2 linked regions of the Alligator mississippiensis genome follow. The protein of the gene in region 1 interacts with the protein of each later gene in a biochemical or structural test. Links are inferred from orthologs where the notes say so. Each region holds a gene or a part of one and is shown on either strand. Other genes may lie near its edges.

Region 1 (9,729 bases):
GCCTTTTTTATGACTGAAAAAAAAACAATTTTAGAATTTCACATGCTGTGTTTTTCCAGTTGTACTGTGTAGTTTGTGGGTGGCAGGAGGAATTGTTCTGTTTTGCTTTTTCCTAAATTTCATGAATGACTACAGATGAGTTCCAGAAATGAGAGAGGGTGTTTGGAGTCAAATTAAATTTAAGTTAGGTGTTCCGTTTTGCCCACAGTCTAGAAGAGTTTGTTTTGAGTGCATCAAGAGCTCCCAAGTTGCTCTAAGAACTACTAAGATTTCAACAAAACCTTCTAGAACCTCTTGAGTATTTCTGAGAGATTTCCTTCCTTTCTCATCTCAGTGGCCCCTGCTGCTCTTGGAACACTAATTTGTACTTGGGGCAATATTGCTCCTGGTCAAATGCAACTGCATTACCACACTTGCCATCGTACCTTTCTCTCTTCCTCTCCCTTTTCCAGTTCTGCATCCACAGATGTCTTCATTAATCTGAGTCTTAAGGAACATTTTTAAAATTACTCAACTGTATTTTAATCTTAATGTTGAACACCACCAGTTTCACTGGGGATTTGGTAATTAAAGAGCCACATTGGCTGTCTGTAAGAGGATGGTAATAGTATGCATTTTCATCACTTGGGGAATGCATAGCTAGGTTAGTTGAAAAGTATTTTAGAACATACAAAAAATGCAGATTATTTTTAATTAAGGGAAGATAGCTACCAGGTAGTAATTAACAGTTTTAAATATAAAACTGTGCAGAAAAACACTGGTCACAGCAATAATGTTATGCAAATTAAAATGATTGCTTAAGGTAGTTAGATTTAACATTCCCAGATGTCTAGAGCTAAATAAATTCTCAATGAGAGCACAATGAAATCTTAATCTACATTCAGGCAATATCTTGCAACACTGTTGCCAGTCAGGAGTAACAAGGAGAAACATCACCAATATTTGGGAACAGAGAGCCCATTCAAACCTGGGACATCTAATGACAATAAGACCTGATTTTATTTATTTATATCTATATAAATAAAATTCAATATAAAAAATGTGGCCATTACAGAAATCACAATTTGGATGCTGCCTATCCTAATTCAGACTATATCACTGTGGGAGATTTTCATTTAAGCAACAGCTGCATTTCACTAATCAGCCAAAAAAAAATGAATGAAACATGTGACTACATTTTCATTCTTGGCACACTCAAATAAAAGCCTCAACAACCAGATCCAATTTATGTTAATTCATTTTTATTTCTATTTGTTTTCAAATAAGCCAAAGGAAAAGGGACTAGTTTATTATGCTATACATAGTGTTCTGTGTGAATCCTAGAAATTAGACATTTCCAATTTTTTTGGGGTGGTATGAGGCTTTAAGGAAAAAAGGAAGGTAGCTGTGCGTGGGTTTGGGGTATGTTTTGTGGTTAGATTTAGAATTTTTTGGAAATTTCAAGGAAAACAAATCTAATCTTTCATTCTGATCTTTGTCCATGGGGAGAGAATTCTCAACTGTAATAAACTGAACCAAATCAAATAATCATAATGGTAATAAATTATAAGGGGGCTTGCAATTTGCTGTGCATAATAGGTGAACAAAGGTTCTTGATCCTTTTCAACGAAGATAACAAGTCACTTTGCAAATATACGTAGATCATTGTATTTTCTTGAAATGCAACCAAATTAATAATAGGAAATTGAAAGGCCGTACATTTCATCCTTTGGTACTCTTTCAACTCCAGTGAAAATCTAAACATTACCTTAGATGTAACTGTATCTGAACACATTGGATAATGGCGCTGTTCCTAAGATCTTTTTCCAAAGTATTTCATGCACCCAGTGCAGTGTGTACAGGTGTACAAGACTCCCTTACATAGTATACATACAAATAACTCTCTTCCTATGTCTGGCCAACTGCCCTCTGTTTTGAACTTGTTTTTTATAGAGTGAAACAAAATGTCCTATTTGTATGTGTGCTGAGGGCTGAGATACCAGAATAAGTGTGTTGTGTGTTACTATCCTATTTGTGGAGGTGATATGTACTCACAAAACTGTTAATGTCAGTTTTTGGCATCTCTGACAATTAAGCCATTATAAATAGGGCCCTGACAGATTCAGCAGAATGAGCAGTGGCAGTTCCACTTGAATGGAAGCAGATATGAAATATTAGCTCACTCTTTCAACTGAGTGCTAGTTTTAGGCTACAAAAGTATTTCAGCTCAGCATTTACTGAGATGAATGCTAGTAGTAGTTGGGAATTCTGGGTGAAGACCCATTTAATGTTTCAGTTGAGGAATAATTGATAATGCCATTTCAATGTTAGATGATTACTGATTGAAAATGTCAGTCCAAAACATCAGATAAAATTCCAAAAAGCCACTGTTATCATTTCAGTATTCACGAGTGTATATTATAAAAATGTTAACCAGCAGCTGTTTTGATTGGGCAGAGTAGTGATTAGTGTGTCAGCATGTCTAATTGTCCTCTGTTTGAAATATCCTAACTAAAATTTGTTGAGCTTTCTCTAGTAGCTGGTCCTCTAATATTCTCAAATCTAGTGCAACCAATATTTGTTTTGTTTTTATAGGGTTAAAACCTTTCTTTTGGGGGAGTGATTTTTGGGCAAACACCAATATTTGTTTAAAACTTAAGATCTCTTTAGTATTTTTATAAGTATTAGGGTGCTTCTCCTCTTTTTTCTTCTGGTCTCCCTCTCTTTCTAACTTGCTATTTGTTATATTCTAAAACTATAAACAAGAATCCACCATCCCTACTTTACACCTGTACTGTGCTGTGTTAACATTCCTCTCTTCTGCAGCATCAGTTCAACATAGAAAAGGCCAGTAACAGGACAAATGATAAATGGCATCAATTTCACAGATGTACTAAGTATTTCAGTACATTTGGCAAAAACACATGCAGCATTAAAAGCTATTGCTTTAGGATAAACAGTATTCAATATACATTAGTTGTATATAATACCACACTGGGTGCCACAAGCCTCTGGCCAGTCAGGCCCAGTTAGGCCAAGCTCTTGAGCTTCCACACTTGGCCTTGATCCCATACTAATGCAATTGCCCCAGTTCTCTATAGCCAGACTGGCTGCTGAGAGCACTGCTCAGCCCTTTTAAGCACTGCTACAGCCTCAGACTATAGGTACACTTTGATAATGCTCTTGGTCTGCTCTGGCAAGTCTTGCATTCACTGCTCTCTCTGGTTCTTAGCTCCTGACTTGTTTGTGGCTTTTCTTGACCCTAATCTTGGATCTTCCCTGAAACATGGCAACTGGCCCTGATTCTCCTGGCTCCTAATTTGGCTCTGACTTCCCTTGACCCTGCTCTTGGATATTTTCTGCAATTTGGCATCTGACTCTCCTGCTTTCCAACCTCAGTTTGCACCTTGTCTCTCAGGCCTCCCTTTCAGCTTTCCTGGAACCTGATCCTGCGCCCTCTGCTCCACTGATCCAGACCACAATTGACATCTTGGTAAACTGTACCCCCCACCTAGCAGGCTTCCTGGTTGCCCTTCAGGATCTACCTGGAGGCCCAGCCACCTAATTCCTGGCTGAACCCTCACACTGGATTTCTTCTATAGACTCAAATGTGGGATTGCTGCACCTTGGGACACAATACTTTCAACAGAAAATGATCATTATGTGGCCCTAGGCCATTAAGTAAATATTGACTTGTAAATTTCTTGAGGCAACTTGGGTACTTGGTTGATCCTTACACACAGTTTTGCCAACTCAGGTAATTTGTTGTAATAGCTGTGATCCTTGTTATTTTTCTTCAAGCCTCAGCTCACAGAGCTATATATAAAAGTGAGGATTTCAGATTTCATTTAATTTCAGAAGAGTATGCTTCTACACCTCTTGGTCACAAAGAATCCCTGGACTCAAACACCAGAAGGCAACTGAAGAGAACTTATGCATCTTCCAGTTTAAGCCACTTTGGGCAGGCTAGTCTGAGACACGTGGAATTGCCCAATGTAGAAGTAATGTTTAGAGTGCCAGTCCAGGAATTTTGCAAAAGACAAGGATGTCTTGGACAATATCTTTTATTGGAATACCTGCATGTTTGCGATAAGGTTAGGCAAGCTTTTGAATGCAAGGCTCCTGAAAATTAAGGTAACCTACTGAAGAATGCCTTACATTCAAAAGTTTGATTAACCTTATCCCAGCCACACAGTTTGTCCAATAAAACCTGGAAAAAAATCCTTGCTTCCAACATATGGGGAAGACTTTAATCCTTCTCACCCCCTAGAACAGTGATTCTCAACCTTTTTAGATTCAAGGCATCCTTCAATAGACAAAGGTCGCCCCTTGAAAAAGGTCAGTTCTTAGTTTTCGCTTGATTTTCGCTTGACTACAGGAAAATAACAGAACAATTCTTGTTGCAAAGAACTCAGATCGCAATAGGTCACAATGCTTTTAATACTATGGATTCTGCGGGCCTTGTTGCACGGTAATTTCGGGCAGCTCCTGGAGCTCCTAACACCTGGGTTGTCTGCACATGAACACCTAGGGTTACCATACATCCGGGTTTTCCTGAACATATCCTTTTTTTGGGTCTGGGCAGTTTTTTAAACTGCTGCCCCTCGTTCCCAACCCACAGTACCCCAGGCAGGCGCTGAAGGGTAACCAGGAGGTCAGCTAGGAGGAGGCAGGGGCCTGCAGGTCAGGAGTGAGGGGCACTGGCAGCGCTGTGGGGTGCTGCGGCTTGGGAGTGCAGGGCACAGGCAGGGCCAGGGGGCAGCATGGGGGCAGGGCATGGCCTGGAGGGTGGGGAACGAAGGGCAGCAGAAGGCAGCTGGGGGGGGCAAGAGGCTGCAAGTCAGGAGTGAGGGGCACCGGCAGGGCTGGGGCTTGAAAGTGAGGGGCAGGGGCTCACCCTTCTCCCCCCTCTCTTTCTTGAAACTGGAAAAAAACACGGCAACCCTTGAACACCTGAAACTAGTATCAGGCGTGCTTGGGCGGCTCAAAGGTAGCAGGTTGGTGTGTGACCCGCGTTACCTGGCCGGTGTCATACTGCGCGGCAGGCGCCCAGGGCGACACCGTGTGAACGCTGCCCCCGCCCGTGCCGGGGAGCGCAGACGGGTGACCCCACCCGCCCCGGGAGCCCCGCCCGCTGCAGCCCCGCACACGGGTGGGGGAGGGGGAAGCCGCCGGCACTGGTCCAGCTCCCCCGTTGCCATGGCAGCCGCCGCCGCTGCCGGAAGTGCTCCGCGGTGCCCCCCTCTCCCCCCGGCCCCGGGGAGCGGCGGAAGATGGCGGACGGCAGCCGGCAGGACGAGGAGGCGGCGGCAGCGGCGGCCTCGGGCAGCGGGCGCGGGCCCCGGCCGCGGCCCCCCACAGCCCGCGATCTGCAGGTGCGCCCGGGCTGAGCGGGGCGGGAACGCCCCCCACTGCCCCTCAGCGGGGGGCGGGAGGGGAGGGGAGCGATGCTGCTGCCAGCCTGCCCCACCCCACCCCGCCCCGCCCCGCCCCGCGTCTCTGGCGTCCCAGCCGCGCCGCGCCGCGCCCTGCCGGATCTTTGTTGTCAGCCCGGGCTGCAGCCGAGACCCGACTCCCAGTTTACACGTGGGGTGTGACTCCAGAGCGGCCCGCCCGGTGCAGGAAGGAGTCTGGCTTGGGTTTACCCCCTGCATCACCTTTGGGTGCCCAGCGGCACCACCCCCGGCAGGACCTCCAGGCTGCCCTGGGTGGGACCCGCCTGCCAGGGTACAAGGACGGGGGTTGCCTCTCACGGCTGAGGAGACCCTGCAAAACAACCTCTGCTTCCCCTTTGGAGGAGGCGAGGGACCTAGGTCTCCCCGGCAGGAGGAGCAAGTACTTGTGTGGAGAAAACCAAGTCTGCACCAGTAGTTTTATGCAGGGTTCCAGTTGCAGGAGAGCTGGGGAGTGAGCCCCCTATGAGAAACAAGGGCTGTCCTATAAGATTTGAAAATCATAACCTGGGATGCTCCGATTTTATTAGGGTATTGTGATGGACAGCCCAATTTTTTTTGCTTCCCCCCACCCCGCAAGAGGTCAAGTGTAATTCAGACCCTGGTTCTGTGTTCGCATTCTTTGCAAGGTGTCACCAGTTTATTAGTTAAATACCACTAGGGATTTTTTGAGCAGGTGTTTTTTCATTGGCTTCTGAGAGAAGACAACCTTTGGCCCCCTGTACAGCTCAGTGGCACACACATGCAATTTGAGCTTGGCCTGGTGACAAATTTGTGACTTTGTTAATAGCCTTCTGTACTTCAGTGCTTTCCTGGAAAATGCCCGGCTTGCCGCTGAGATTATTGGAATGCAGCGAGCGCCGGAGAACCCACCTGGTAAAGAGCAGATGACGGTGGTCTCATTGCGATGGTTGCTTTTGTGAACCAAGTAGTACCAGCATTGCTGCTGTTCAGCACCTCCAGCAGTGAGCATGATGACATTTTTGCGCCATTTGTGTATCTAGAGAAATGCAAGACCGAGCTGTGTTGGAAAACGAAATCTTAATATATTTTTTAAAACTGAGTAAATGGTGTTAAATACAGTAACAGATGAGCTACCAAAAATGACATATTTAGTATGCCTCCCACAAATTCTTTTAAAACTGAATCTGCCAGAGAAATGGCGGCACCTATGTATGGCTACCCTTGGGGAGAACCTTAAATAAAGGGAACTGCAGCCTTTTTTTTGGGGCCTGTGATTTTAATCATGTGCTGAAGACGCATTAAACATAGGATTAAGTACTTTGCTGAATTAGAGCTATGTTTCCTGGTTAGCATTTCATGTAAGAGCTAAAAAAATAAATTCAAAGTTATTCCACTCATGAGCTTTATCAAAAGTAAAGTGGCCTCTTGTTTGGCATGAGTACAGAACCTCTTTATTTATCATAACCTGTATCAATAATGAATCCTGAACCAATATTTCTGTATTAAGTCTCAAGTCATTTTGAATCCAGGGTAGTCCTGACATATTCTTAAGCACTTCAGACTTGTGTGTTTTCTAATGTGTAACTAAGTGCAAGCTTGTTTATTTTGGAGCACAGATGCACAAAATCAAAGCATCTGTTTACAAATCATTTGTTTCTCTCATATTAATGTTGGTTGTCCTGTATCACTGAGGTGCACACATTGTATTAGTTATTTTTAATCCTGTGTTCTTTGTGCAGTTTACACTTCTAATGTTAAAGACTTTCTAAAAAAAATTGGTGTTTCTTATAGTTGGCCTTGGCAGGATTGTATCAGGATGAAGTTAAAAGTCAATCGTCCCATTCTGACAGACCAACAGGTATCCTGGTCAATAACCCAATAGTACCTGTTCAGAGGTAAGAAGTATTTTGCTCTTCATTATTATTTATTCATGTGTTTGTTCATGTGAAATATGAAATATTTGCTTTAGTTCACCAACCTTGCTGTTGTCACAATATTCTAATATTTGATCTGAAAGAACAGAATATTATATAGCACAGCTTGTTTAAAAATGCTATTATTATGTAGAGATGTGAAGAGTGGATCACTACAATATGTAAGTTCTTCTTAGGAATCTCTTTTAGCACATAATAATTTATCAACTCTTCTTTACACTGCAAGTTTTCCAAACCGCTCTGTTAGGTGCAGAAGTATCTGTCTCTCTCTCAATTTCTTGGTGAACTTTTTTTAGGACCAGGAACAATCCACATCTTTTCTATGTTAGGAAACCATGGTGCTTGCATCAATATAAGATGCACCAACTTTGTTCATTAAATCCTTCCCAAAAATAAGTCTCAGAAGCTGCCATCTGGCAGATGTCCTCTACGGTTCTTAACAAGAGTAAAGAACTTGGATGGACATCCCCTGTATTGTGAAGAAACTGAACATAACTTTCTTTTTTTTCTTGGATGAAGGCTTTTTAGGGGCATATAGCCAGCAAGAATTTGACTTTCAGTATTTAGAGTTCACATAACAGAATATTTAGAAACTCACAGCCTTCTCAAAGATTTGTGAGAAGGATATTTAGCCTTCTTAGTCTGAAATCAAGCAAAAGGCAGGGTAGATTAACACCTAAATCAGAAATGTATAAGCTTTCATAAGTAGCAACTTACTTCATCAGATGCTGAGAAGTGACTGGAGGAACAAAGCAGAGCTTCTAACTAGAAAAAAGTGATTAGAATACAAAAATAATCCTGCCACATTTAAACTTAAGTAAAAATAAAAGCAATATAATTTTAATTTAATAATAGATAAATTGTGTTTTCTTTAAAAATATATATTTATCTGGATTTAGTATACGGGATAAGAACCAAAATAAGGTTTGTGTAACTCTTCAGTTATACCACCTCAAGTCAGACCTATCTGTGTGTATTTCAATAACAAAAGCAGGTGTATGCCAACAGAGAGTTTTTGCATTTGGAGAATAGTTTCCATTTGTCCACAGGGATCTCTGGGAAAAAAACGGAATTTGGCACAATGTTGGGCTCTCAGGTAACTGTGTCTAGTTGAGAATACCTGTCCAGCCTGGACAGGTAATCTATAGAGATTACTATTAAACATTATTTGTCAATACTGCTAAATTATAATTCTCACTTCTAAGCAAAGGAAAAACTGGAATTGTATTTTAAATACTTTGGTAAATATGAGCAGACTCCTGCTTTTTATTGGTAACCACATACTGGGACTCTGATCTCTTGGCAGGATGCCTTTTCAAGGATGCCCTTTAATGTAAGGAATTCCGTCTTTAAGTATATTTTAGTCCAGGGGTGTCACAGGTATTACCTGCAGAGCCGTATCATCTGGACTGTGGGCTCTTGAAGGGTCTGCAAATTCCAGAATGGGCTGTTGCCAGATTCTAGCAACCCAGTGGAGACCTGTGGTGTGTTGGTAACAAAGGAACAAATGACACTTGCATTAACCCTTGTCACTCCCTGACACTACTTGCTCTGCTGCTGGAGGCAAGTCTGGATCCAGCGCACAAGGATTCCCGTGTTCTGTATCTGGCCTGCAGTGAGCCCTTTGGGGTCAAGAGAGTTTTATCTGTATGTCATGCTTTTTCTAGCTGTGAAGCTAAAAGGACTTTGTTATATAAATTAACAGGTTTTCAGCTGATATAAAATCTCAATTTCACCTCTAAAATCAATTGGAGCTATGGTATTTTATATGAAAGAAAGACCTGGTGCCTGAGTTACTTGCATTAAAATATTTTAAAATCCATTATCAGAATTTTGTTGTCAGTATAAAGCTTTACAATTTTGACTTTTTAAGTATATTTTTGAATATACATAATAAATGGAAGGGCAGAGGGGAAATGCTTCTAAGTACTTTTGGGTAGAGACTGGCTGTATTTGCAGTGTTCAGGTTGTGTTCTGAGGATTTATTTAATCTATTTTACATGAAGCAGAAGTCTGGAAAGTCACAAGACAGAAAATATTTGTTGCCACGGATGAATTATTCACTAATCAGAAACTAATCATGTTTCTAAATACATTTTTTTATGTATTGGCAGTCTTAAAATTGACTCTTTCAGAAGCTTGAGAAAACCAGAAAGAAGCATGAGTGATGACAAAGAAAACCAAAGGTATGAAGCACAAAAATGTATTCACCTGTAACAGTTGTGAAAATAATTTTAAAGGTGTTTTTTTTTTCTTTCATGCATGCATTTCCCTCCCCCCCTCCCCCCAACACACATTTTCTTTCTTCGTAATGGCTATGTTCTAACAGAAACTGAAAAGGAAAGTATTAACTTTAGATTGTTGTAGCATAGCCACATTCGGCTAATTTAGCTACAGCA
Region 2 (10,610 bases), on another chromosome or scaffold:
AAATAAAAGAATGACCTCAAGTTCCCTTAGCAGTACAAGTAAAAATAATACAAGTTTTGAGTCTATATAACACAACACTATATGGCATAACATAATTATACAAAGTTTATTTTTAAGTTAGTACTAATAGATACAAATAGGTACCTCTGTTGTTCTGATATCCACAGTGAATATAGCTTTGTTTGGGTTGCGTACAGCAGTCAGGAAGGACTGGGCAGACTCCTCTACGGTCAGGGCATTCAAGAAGGAATAAGAAGTGCTACTAAATGAACTGGACAGGGAGTCTGATTCCAGTTGAACCCAAGAGTTACTAAGTTTGCTGGTACTAATGTTGTGAGCAGCCAGTGAAGACAAACAATAAGAACTCCACCCATTCCCTATGACAAGGAAAGAGAATCAGCTACAGAAATCTGCAAATGGAGCATTTACATGAGAGAGAATGTTCAGAGAAAGATTAAGCATCAGCTGAAACAATTTTCAAATAGTTAAACATCAAAACATAAATTTTGAGGCTAAGGAAGGATCTTAAACTATTCATAATTACATTAATAATAATGAAAACACTGCTAACTCATACAATTGCTTGGATTGGATGTAGTAAGTATTCCAGTGGCTATAACCCAAAGACTGAAAAAATTGTGCTTTTGCATGATAACCAGTAACATAATTCTGCTTGCCTTTAGCCCAAACCAAGTGAAATGCAAAAAAAATTCTGTTGTTTTAATAATCTAAACTGCAGTTATTTTAAATATTTGTTTAGTCAGAAGTCAGTTAATTAACTGTTCATAACTAAAGCAGATCTGTGATTGAAATGCTACCCTAGTCCTCAGTTCTCATAACTATGTGAATGTGCACATCTTGTCAACCAACTGTGCCAAAAGTCTTGGCAGCACTGCCTGTAAACTGTGGTACTTCAGGAAGTGGCAGAGCATCAACCATGAAGCCTCACCATTTCACTCCTGAAAAAAAGAAGCAGCTTTCAGGAACAGGCAGCATTGCAAAGAGGTCACAATTGGAGCAGTCTGATGGTATCTATACCAGTTATGCCCAAACTTTTCATCCCACAGGCCAGATGGGCAGTACTAAATCAATCTGTGGGTCAGACCCAGATGATGGACCTAATCTGGAGCATGGGGCAGAAGGGGCCCTGCCCCAATTCTGCTGAGCAGCAATGGCTCAGCCCCATCCCAGCAGGGTAGGCAGGAATGGCCGGGCCCCATTTCAGCTGCAGAGGGGAAGGCAGCCCAAGCTGATCCAGGCATATAGGGACATGGATGGGCAGTAGGCCTGTATGAAGTGGCTAGTATTCACTTCTGATTCAGCCGATTTGGGGGACAGTAATTTGATTCAGTGATTCAAATCACTGTCCTGAATTGATTCGGACAAATCTGATTTGGAGATTCGGCTGCTGTCAAATCAACGGAATTTCTGAGTCACACAGGCCCCATCCCCTGCCCACTCTCCCAGCCCCGGCTCTTTGAAAAATAAAAGCCCCCACTCACTGGTTCCTGCCCAGCGAGGGGTGATCCCCGCTGCCCACCACTGCCCTTTGCCACATAGTGGGACTCTGCAATGAGCCCCTGGACCCGCGACTGCTCTCCCAGCCCTGCTATGGCTGCCCTGCCTGCCCCAGCTACCGGCCCTTTAAAAAAAAAAAAAAAAAAGCTCCATATACTCACCAGCTCCTGCCCAGCTGGGGGTTGACCCCTGCCGCCCTGCGCTGCATGGGGGGGATTTTCCATGAGCCCCCAGAAGCCCCAAGGCTGCTGCAGCAGCTAGTAAGTCCAGAGTTTTGGGGTTTTTTTAAAGGGCCAGGAGCTGGGGTGGACCAAGGGGTGGGGGGGGGGAGCTTGTGGCAGAGCTCCCCCATGCAGCAAGGGGCAGTGGGGGGCAGCAGGGATTCCCCCCTTGCTTGGCAGCAGCGGGTAACTAGAGGCTTTTTTTAAAGAGCCAGGAGCTGGGGCCGGGCAGGGCAGCCACTGGGGTGGCTGGGAGAGCAGGTGGGGGTTGGGGGGCGCTCTGAGGGACTGGGAAGCAGGCAGGGAATGTGGCCTGGCACGGGTCCCCCCATGGTCCCCTCCCCCTCCTCCAGCCTTCCCTCCCTCGCCGCCTACTTATCAGCATGGAGTCAGGGTCCAGCTCCCTGCTGCAGCCAGCTGGGACTGCCCAAATCACCAAAGCTCTCCGAATCTTTTCTGAATCAATTCAGAGAGCTTCAAATTGATTTGGACCTTTTAATTTGTCCCAATTCGATTTGGATTCAGAGATTCATCCACCGAATCGGACCGAATCTCCTCTGAACCGAATCAGCACCCAAAGCTTTGCACAGCCCTAATGGGCAGCCCAGGTCCATCTGCCCCATGCTGCATGGGGTGGGGGGGCAACCTGGCCCTGATCCAGCCACATGGGGGAGAGCGATAGAACAACCAGCCAGGGCCCAATCTAACTGTGGAGTGCAAGGCCAGCCTGGGCCCCATCCAGCCACATGGCAAGAGCCTGAGCCAGGCCTGATTGACTGCGTGGGGCTCAGTATTTTGGCAGTACGGGTGCAGTGGCAGTATTAATTGACACTGCTCCCTGCAACTAAATTTTCTGACTTGTGGGGAGCCATAGCTCCGAGAGATAGATTTGGCTTACAGGCCAGGGGTTGAGGACCCCTGATCTACACAGTTATACTGTCTGTGACTAGTATGTAACAGACACACCCAGCCCATGAATACATTCCAAGTTCAATTCCCTCCCTTCTCAATTCCCCTAGTACCAACATAATCTTCTCCCCTTTCTTCCCTCCCCCTGCCAGTTACTTCATTAATTCTGTCATTTCTGATATATAAGGCAAACCTTACAGACATTTAAAAGCATGCACATCTCTTCAGTTAACAAGTTCACATTGACAGAATACTGTGGGATAATCACCAGACAAAGATGGTTTACTCCGGCAAAGTTTAGAAAGCCGGCTTTTCCTGCTCTTGTTGGTCCAAGGATAGGATTTGCTCAGCTCATCAGAGTCATTTAGTCCTCGGAGGGATAACCCCGGTGAGGAACATGCTAGCCCCTGTTCACCACAGCTGTGTTCCATGGCTGCCATATTCAAACTGTCACGTCACCCTTGGGATCCACCATCTCTGAAGGAAATACAGAAGAGTTCAGTCAGATTTACAAGTTGTAATCCAAAGCATAAGGGCACCTTGTCAGTGTGCCTCAGATCTAGCCACAATGAGGAGTGAGACAAGGCCTTGGGTAACGTTTTCTGAAGCTTTTTATCATTTATGTCCAGTTTTCAAAAGGCCCCGGGGTGTCTAAATGACCTCACTTAGGACCATTTTACCCACAAACACCACGAGGCAAATAAAACACCACCACCACCAGGGCACCCCTTAGGAAGACTAGGACCAACAGTCACAAACTCTTGGAAGACCATTTTAGGCTGGACATAAGGAAAAACTTCTTTACTGTCTGAGTCCCCAGGGCCTGGAATAGACTCCCCAAAGAGGTGCAGGCACCTACTCTGGATTCCTTTAAGAAACACTTGGAGGCCTATCCTGCTGGGATCACATGACCCCAGCTGACTGCCTGCTCGCCCTTTGGGCAGAGGGCTGGATCCGATGATCTTGTGAGGTCCCTTCCAGCCCTGATGTCTATGAATCTATGAAGGCCAAGTTTTTCCATGGCTGTATGAGCCTTTGATCTCTGTTCTTAACGCCCACCTGGCTTTTCCAAGTTACTTCTGAAGAAGGAATGTGCCCTCAGCCAGCCCCGCTTCTCATTGCTAGGGTCATTTTCAAACACAGAAAAAGGCTGTACTAGTGACAGGCTCTTCCTTAAGCCTAACCTTCACTAGATGTCTCCGATGAGCTACATGGGAATTCCTAGGGACACAAAGTAAAAGTGTCCTACAACAGAGGGGGACACAAGGTAGCCCCACACCCTAGGTGCCACTCCACCCCCTTCCCCTGCCTCACGGGCTGCTGTTCTTGCCTTGCGCTCCCTGCCTGCGCAGCTGCCCCCAGCGGGATGGGCAGCTCTGCCCTGCCCTCGTCTCCCTGCCTGTTATCAGGGCGGCGCTGTCTTCTGCTCCCTGACCCATCCGCTGCTCTGCCGTCCGCTCCCTGCCCCGTCCGCCCCCTCGCAGGGACCCGCGAGCCGTCTTGCGCCAGTTACGGCCTCACCAACCCGGCGCCGCCGCTCCCCCGACCCCCCCAAGCCGCAAGAGGCCGGGAGCAACTCCGTACCCTGCAGCCCAGAGACACGGGGCTGAGCAAGGCGTCTCAGTGGCACGAACCAGCGGCGGCGGCGCCGACTCCCTCAGTCCGGGCAGCAACGCTTGCCGCGCCGGGAAAGGGGCGGGCCGCGCTCACCTCTCCGTCCAATCCGGAGGGCGGAACCCGAGGGGACGGTTGGGATTGACAGCCATAGCAGCCAATTGGCCTCCGGGGCGCGCGGCCCAAACGGCTTCTCCATGGGCCAAATCCCCGCGCGCGGGGTTGCTAGGGACGCGGTCGCCTCTGCCTACGGGGCGCGGGAGGGGGCAAAATGGTCCAGCGGGGTTTAGGAGCGCTCTTCCTGCGTGCGACGCTCTGTGTATGGTGCTGTGCGTGTGACTGGGTTGTGTTAGGGGCAGTCAGAACAGAGCTTGCTGCGGAGTCTTACCCCATTCCCTTGGACTCGCTAGGCGGAGCCCTTGCTGAGTCCCTCAGCGGGGTAGCTGCTTTGTTTCCCTCCTGCCCCTTCATTTTTTCGACCACTGCTTTCTAGTAGAAAACTCCATGTCCCGCATGCCCTTCATCATGAAGCACCGGAGGAAGTCAGCCCCTGCTTGGGGAAGCTCATGCGAGGGGCAAGGACGTGTTAAGGTGGTATCTTGTACTGAGCCAACTCTGGAGCTAGGTTCAAGTCAGAGCTTTGGCACGGTGGCAGGAAGGCGGGCACGGAGCGAGCACAGCGCAGGGGAGGGGCTGACACAATTAGGGAAAGAAAAACAGCGGGTTACTGGGAGATCAAGGCCTATCGTAAGGAATGGCGGGGGAGACGCTGATAAGTCTCGTCTTTGCGTGGGAAAAAAATCAGAATTAAAATGGGCCATAAACCGTTATCAGAGCTGGTTCTTAGTGTCAAGCCAGGTTATGCGTTTTTATTCCCATGTTTGCCTTTTACAGGTGTTAGGTAGATTTCCCTTGGGCTTGTGGCTCTCCACTTACACGTCTCTGAGGTAGTTAGTCCACAAAGTGCAAGTCCCCCTGCCTTCGGCCCCACCCTGGGCTGAAGCCATTTACATGCACCTCCTAGTCATTGGGCGACTGATCGGAGTGTAGGTATCACGTATGGATGCTGGGCACTGAAGTGGCACTGAGGGGCTCCATCCGGGGCCGAGCGAGGCAGTGTCCAAACCTGCCTCGGAAGGACCGGTGTGAGCCCTGTGACAAGAGGGTCGCAGTACCCCAGCTGCCCAGCCCTGGCCAATGCTCTGCCTGCGTTGCAGCGGAGCTGGTTTTTACTGAGGGCTGTGCTGAGCCACCCACAACGCTGCACAGCGGGATCCACCGAGAGCCCGGCTGGCCCCGGCCCCGCTTCCGCCGCCGAGGCCGGGGAGGAGGTAGAGCGGGCTGGCGCCGGGCCAAGCCCCGCAGTACCTCTACCCCCCGCCCTCCTCTGCGTGAAGGCGGAAACTACATCTCCCGTAAGGCTGCGGGGTGCTGGGGCGGGCGTACGCATGCGCAAAAAGCCCCCCCCCCCCCCCGGGAGTCTCGGTGAGGAAAGCGAAGACGTGAGTGGCTGGAAGGCTGGCTCCCTGCAGCCGGGGATTGGCTGCGCGCGTGGCGGCAGCGAGTTCCGGAAAGAGGGGGGACGGGGGCAGGAAAAGCAACATGGCGGCGGAAAGCGGAGAAGGGCCGCAGGAGATGATGGAGGGTGAGAGGCCGCCGGCGGGCCCGGCCCGGGGGGAGGGACCCGCGGCCCGGCTAGGCCTCACGTTCGGGGCCGGGGCGGCTGGGCCTAGGGCGAGAGCGAGGCGCTGGGGCAGGACCCGCAGGCGCGGAGCACAGGGTCGGGCGGCCCCGGGCGGGCAGGGCGACCGGGTCCGAGCTGCTTCACCTCCTTGCCCCCACCATCGGCCCCTGATCGTGAGGCCTGTGGGCGCGTCCAGAGGCTTCGCTGATCCCAGCCAAGCCGCAGCCTCTCGGGCTCTGGAGGGGCTGGTAGGGCGAGGAGCAGCCCTCCTTGAAACCAGGGTGGAAGTTGCCAGCCCCCTCTGCGCTTTTTAAATGTAACCATACTAATTCAGTCTCCTTAACCCTTGGATTCGTACTCCATTGATCTAAGAAATGTCCTTTTTCCTCCAGTCTTCTTCCCAGATTGTTGGTTTTAGGAAGATGTGAAGGGAGGAAAAAGTGTTCCAAAAATCAAAGTAAAAACAAGGGGTAAGAGGCCTTTTATTTAAGACTAAACCTTTAATTTAGTAAATTTAGGATCTCTACTAACCACATGGTGGTTCATGTCAGTCTTGGTTGTTGTACCTGCTTGGTGCTCTCTCTTCTGAAAGCAGCCTAAGCCTGCTGTTCTGTATCTCTCACAGTTGACAGGCGGATTGAATCGGAAGAGTCAGGGGATGAAGAAGGGAAGAAGCAAGCAGCTTGCATAGTGACAGACCTCAGCCAGCAGAGCCTGAGAGATGAGCAGAATGGTGAGAATTCAACAGGTATACAGTCAAGTTACATCATCATTGCAGGGAGGGCTTCTCTGTGCTCTATGTAACAAGATGCTTGTACCACTTCAGATGGTTGCAGTGATTTGAAGAGCATCCACTGAGCACATTTGCTTTAGTTAATATGTGAATCTGCCCTGTGATGCTCTATTCTGGAATCCATATTGTGGCACTGCATTCGTTTCCAGTACTTCATTTTAGAGGATCATTTAAGTTACAGGCTGTTGTCATACTTCCATGTTTATCTGTCTCTGCAAACATATTTGACTTTGAAAGAAGCCCTAAGAGTTTAAAGTACTAGTGGATCTCATTGTAGCTCTGTTACTTTTATTGCAGAGAAGTAGCTAACCCCATTATTAATACTAACATACTTTTTATGGCCTTTTTAATTTTGTCTGGAAATATGCGACTTAGCCTGAAACTTGCTAAATTGCTGGAGGGGAAGGCGGCAGATGTTTTCTGGAAGGCTTGAAGTAAATTTGTCAAATAGTTTTTGAGTTGCAAGGCACTTAATTACCCCGATGTAAAATTTATTTTCTGATGGTACTTGTCTAATGATTTCTTGAATCTTTTGGCTCAAAGCTTACCCATTATTGTTAGTTATGAACATTTTGTATTGCTTACACAGCTGTCTGAATTGCCTTGGTCTTGCTTTAATGATTCGTGTGGGAGCTATCAGAGCGGACACCTGCCAACCTCATTTTATATTTCTGGCACGTTTGGTTTTTTTCCAAAGATGAAGAAAAGATGGGATATAATGCAATAAAAGCGTTACCCAAAAGAAAAAAATAGACATTGCTGTTTAGTGTTCAAATAAGAGGCAGCAAAAGACCAGGAACATACTTGCACTTTTTGAGTAGGCATACTAAGGAATTTGAGAGATTATCTGGAAATGAAATAAGATCTCTGGCCAATTCTTCACTGCTGCATAATCATTTCTGATGGATCATTGCCACACCTGATTTGCAGAGTTCATCACATCCTAACATTGTTCCATAAAATTTGCAAAAATATACTCAAAATTAGCAAATTACCAGAAGTGTTTAAAATCTCTTTTTCTATTCCATTTAATCTTTCCATTATGCCTTAACACAGTGGTTCTCAACCCTTTTTGTACCAGGACCCATTTGTAAACATTGATGGCCACGCCCGACCCAGTGCCCCTCACTCCTGACCTGCTGTCCCAGGCCCCAGCCGTCTAGTGTGTGGTGCATGGGGGTGGGGCCCAAGCAGCCACTTGCAGGCTGGAACTCTGCCAGCCTGCAGGGGGAAAGTTACAGCTTCCCACTTTTTTTTTTCCTCTAAAGGGGAATCCATTTTTAAAATTTGTTCATGACCCTTTCATATATTCTTGTGACCCACTTCTGGGTCACGACCCATAGGTTGAGAAACGCTGCTCTAACACAAGGGTGGCCAAAGTGTGGTACATATGCCACAAGTGGTTGTGACAGACTGTGTGTGTGACATGACAGCCTAGGGGGAGGAGAGGTAACAGATCAGGCACGAAGCATGGGAGGAAGTGGAACACAGGACAACAGACTGGGTAGGAAGCTCAAGGGAGGGAGCAGAAAACAAAGCAGCACTCAGGGAGGATGCTGGGCTAACTTATAGCATGTCTGCCAAAAAGATTGACCCCACTACTTTAACACTACATTAATCATGAAACAGCTACATATGTTAACAAGCTTGCAAGATCTATATGTTCTTGCATAAAGCTTGAGCACCATCTAATCAACATGCCTAATAAAACCAAGTAGATTAATCATTCATAAAATTCTTCCACTACCAGCACAGCAAATCACCATGTTTTAATTATACTCTGGGGCTACTATATTTTATATAGTGCTTATTAAGCATATAGTAAAGATTTCAAAAGTAACTAACTGTCCATCAAGTAGCACATTCCTGTTATGCAATAAACCAATGGACCAAGTTCATATTGGATAAATAGATAAATTAGGACCTATGTTTAATTTTTAATTCTAGATTTTTGTTCCATAGCTACTAGAGTTCAGGAAATATTTTAACCAACTAGGACTCTGCCCTAGTAAATTATTTCTGGAATGTTTGCATTAGATCCAACCAGTCAGGGTTTGAGTTATCCAAGGAGAAGGTAAATATGTTTTTTCCATAAGAAATCTTAAGTACAGGCAGCTTAAACAACTGAGCTTTTAGAGAACTAGTTGCATGGGAAATCTAAGACAGAACTATCCAGCTTCTTACTGGCTGCCCCTCCCACCCCCCACAGTTTTCCTAGATGCAAGCTCCTGCTGCACTGTGTAGACAATCAGTTCCACACCTTCCCTTCCTTCCCTCCCTGCTTGGCTGAAGTTCCCTCCGCACTGCTGGCTTCCCTGCCTTCTGGAGAGAGATGGGAAGGGAGCCTGGAGACTCTGGCTGCTACTCAGCTAGACTAATCAGGAGAACTGTAGCTAGGGGGAGCCCAGGGCAGCCTGTGAGCTGCTAGTTCCACTGTCCTGCTCTAAGGAATAGTCTTTGAAGGTTTTCTTAAATCAGTAAGTTGCAGGCAATCTAATAAGCATGAAAAAACCTAAGAGTTAAATATGCAGTTGAGCTTTAATTATGCTAATGTCTGTGGTGTAATAGAATTGCATAACCCAGTAGTTCTGTATTGCAAGCCTCTATCTTCTAGTATATACCTTTTTTCTTCTTTCTGTAGTTTTCTGTAGCTTGTAGTCTGTGGGGGTGCATTAAAATTGTGAAATTTCAGTGTTGGAACAATTTTCTTTTCCTTAAGAAAAATAAAAATAATTTGTGCTAAAGCTATTTGCATATTTTAGTACATAAGAGTAGAATTATACTTTCACTTAATGAATGACTGCAAAAATGTCAGTCTGGGTTTCCATAACTATCTCAGTGTGGGGGGTTTATCACATTTGCTCACTTCAAGTAAAAAGGTACTATTTTTCAACCTGTCCCTTCCAGCCCTAATGTCTATGAAATCTATGAAACCTGCTAACGCTGGATTAGTATTAAGTCTAGTGATGCCTTTTCTAGCCTAGCTGCCATCACTGGTAACAGCAGATTCTGTAATCAAAATATAGTAGCTCTGTTGATGATACATTAGCCAGTATTGGGCATGGTGCTAATCTGAGTGAGGACGGTAAAACCTTTTCTCTATTAGAGTATTAAGATTTGCATATATAAATGCAACAGCCTAATGTAATGAATGCAATTTAAAACTGAACGCTCCAAAGCCAGGAAATACGAAGAGTTATAGTTCCCATAACAATACAGACTCCCCCACAGTTCATATAGAGCATACAGAATTGTTCTGAATCTTTAATCAGTAAAATCCATTGTATGTACAATGTGGATCACTTAATATTGCTATGGGAACCTTAATGTACTTGTACTCCGAAAACTGAATATGTAAAAATGATTCTAGCAGTTCTACTGCCCAAAGATTTCTAAAATTCCAGCCCCGTTGGAAGAATGCACCCTCAAACAGCTTTTTTTTCTTTCTCTTTTTTTTTCAAATAGTTTCCTTTATCCCATTTGGGATGACTTTTAGAACTCTGCCATTATCACTAGAATTCTAAAATCACAAGGAAGTTCTTCCAGTTGATTGTGATTCCCTGAAGCTATGGGAAAGGAGGCCAACTGCTTCTTCTTTGCTGTAACCAAAATGAGGATATACTCAAGGGAACTAGACAGAAAGAATAGAGAGGGTTGCTGTCAGGTTCTTCATATTTCATGGAAAGCTGCTTATTTTAGCTGGCTTGCCCATATACTAGTGACTCTTGTTCTGTTTTTAGGGCTACATAGCTTTAAGTAGCATGACTTCATATTACTGAGGCAACCCAGCGTTGCAAGCAGAAAATACCTCCTGTATTTATTTGTGACTTTTAGTAATTCTGAGGGTTGTCTGTAAATGTGGCATAAACAA

The links.
Region 2: the proteins of UBXN2B (region 1) and PPP1R7 form a complex in vitro, tested with the Homo sapiens proteins (2 studies listed by BioGRID). The link is inferred for Alligator mississippiensis from reciprocal best matches to the Homo sapiens genes UBXN2B and PPP1R7.

What each region holds. Positions count from the first base shown.
Region 1 is NC_081826.1:69,625,393-69,635,121, reverse strand, and holds the start of UBXN2B (UBX domain-containing protein 2B), read left to right. Parts: upstream 1-5,228; 5' UTR 5,229-5,252; coding exon 5,253-5,354; intron 5,355-7,187; coding exon 7,188-7,291; intron 7,292-9,444; coding exon 9,445-9,516; intron 9,517-9,729. UniProt on the Homo sapiens protein: Adapter protein required for Golgi and endoplasmic reticulum biogenesis. Involved in Golgi and endoplasmic reticulum maintenance during interphase and in their reassembly at the end of mitosis.
Region 2 is NC_081830.1:37,601,758-37,612,367, reverse strand, and holds the start of PPP1R7 (protein phosphatase 1 regulatory subunit 7), read left to right. Parts: upstream 1-5,798; 5' UTR 5,799-5,864; coding exon 5,865-5,907; intron 5,908-6,338; exon of another isoform or gene 6,339-6,416; intron 6,417-6,571; coding exon 6,572-6,694; intron 6,695-10,610. Other genes in the region: PASK (PAS domain-containing serine/threonine-protein kinase), read right to left, coding at 145-377, 2,917-3,088. UniProt on the Homo sapiens protein: Regulatory subunit of protein phosphatase 1.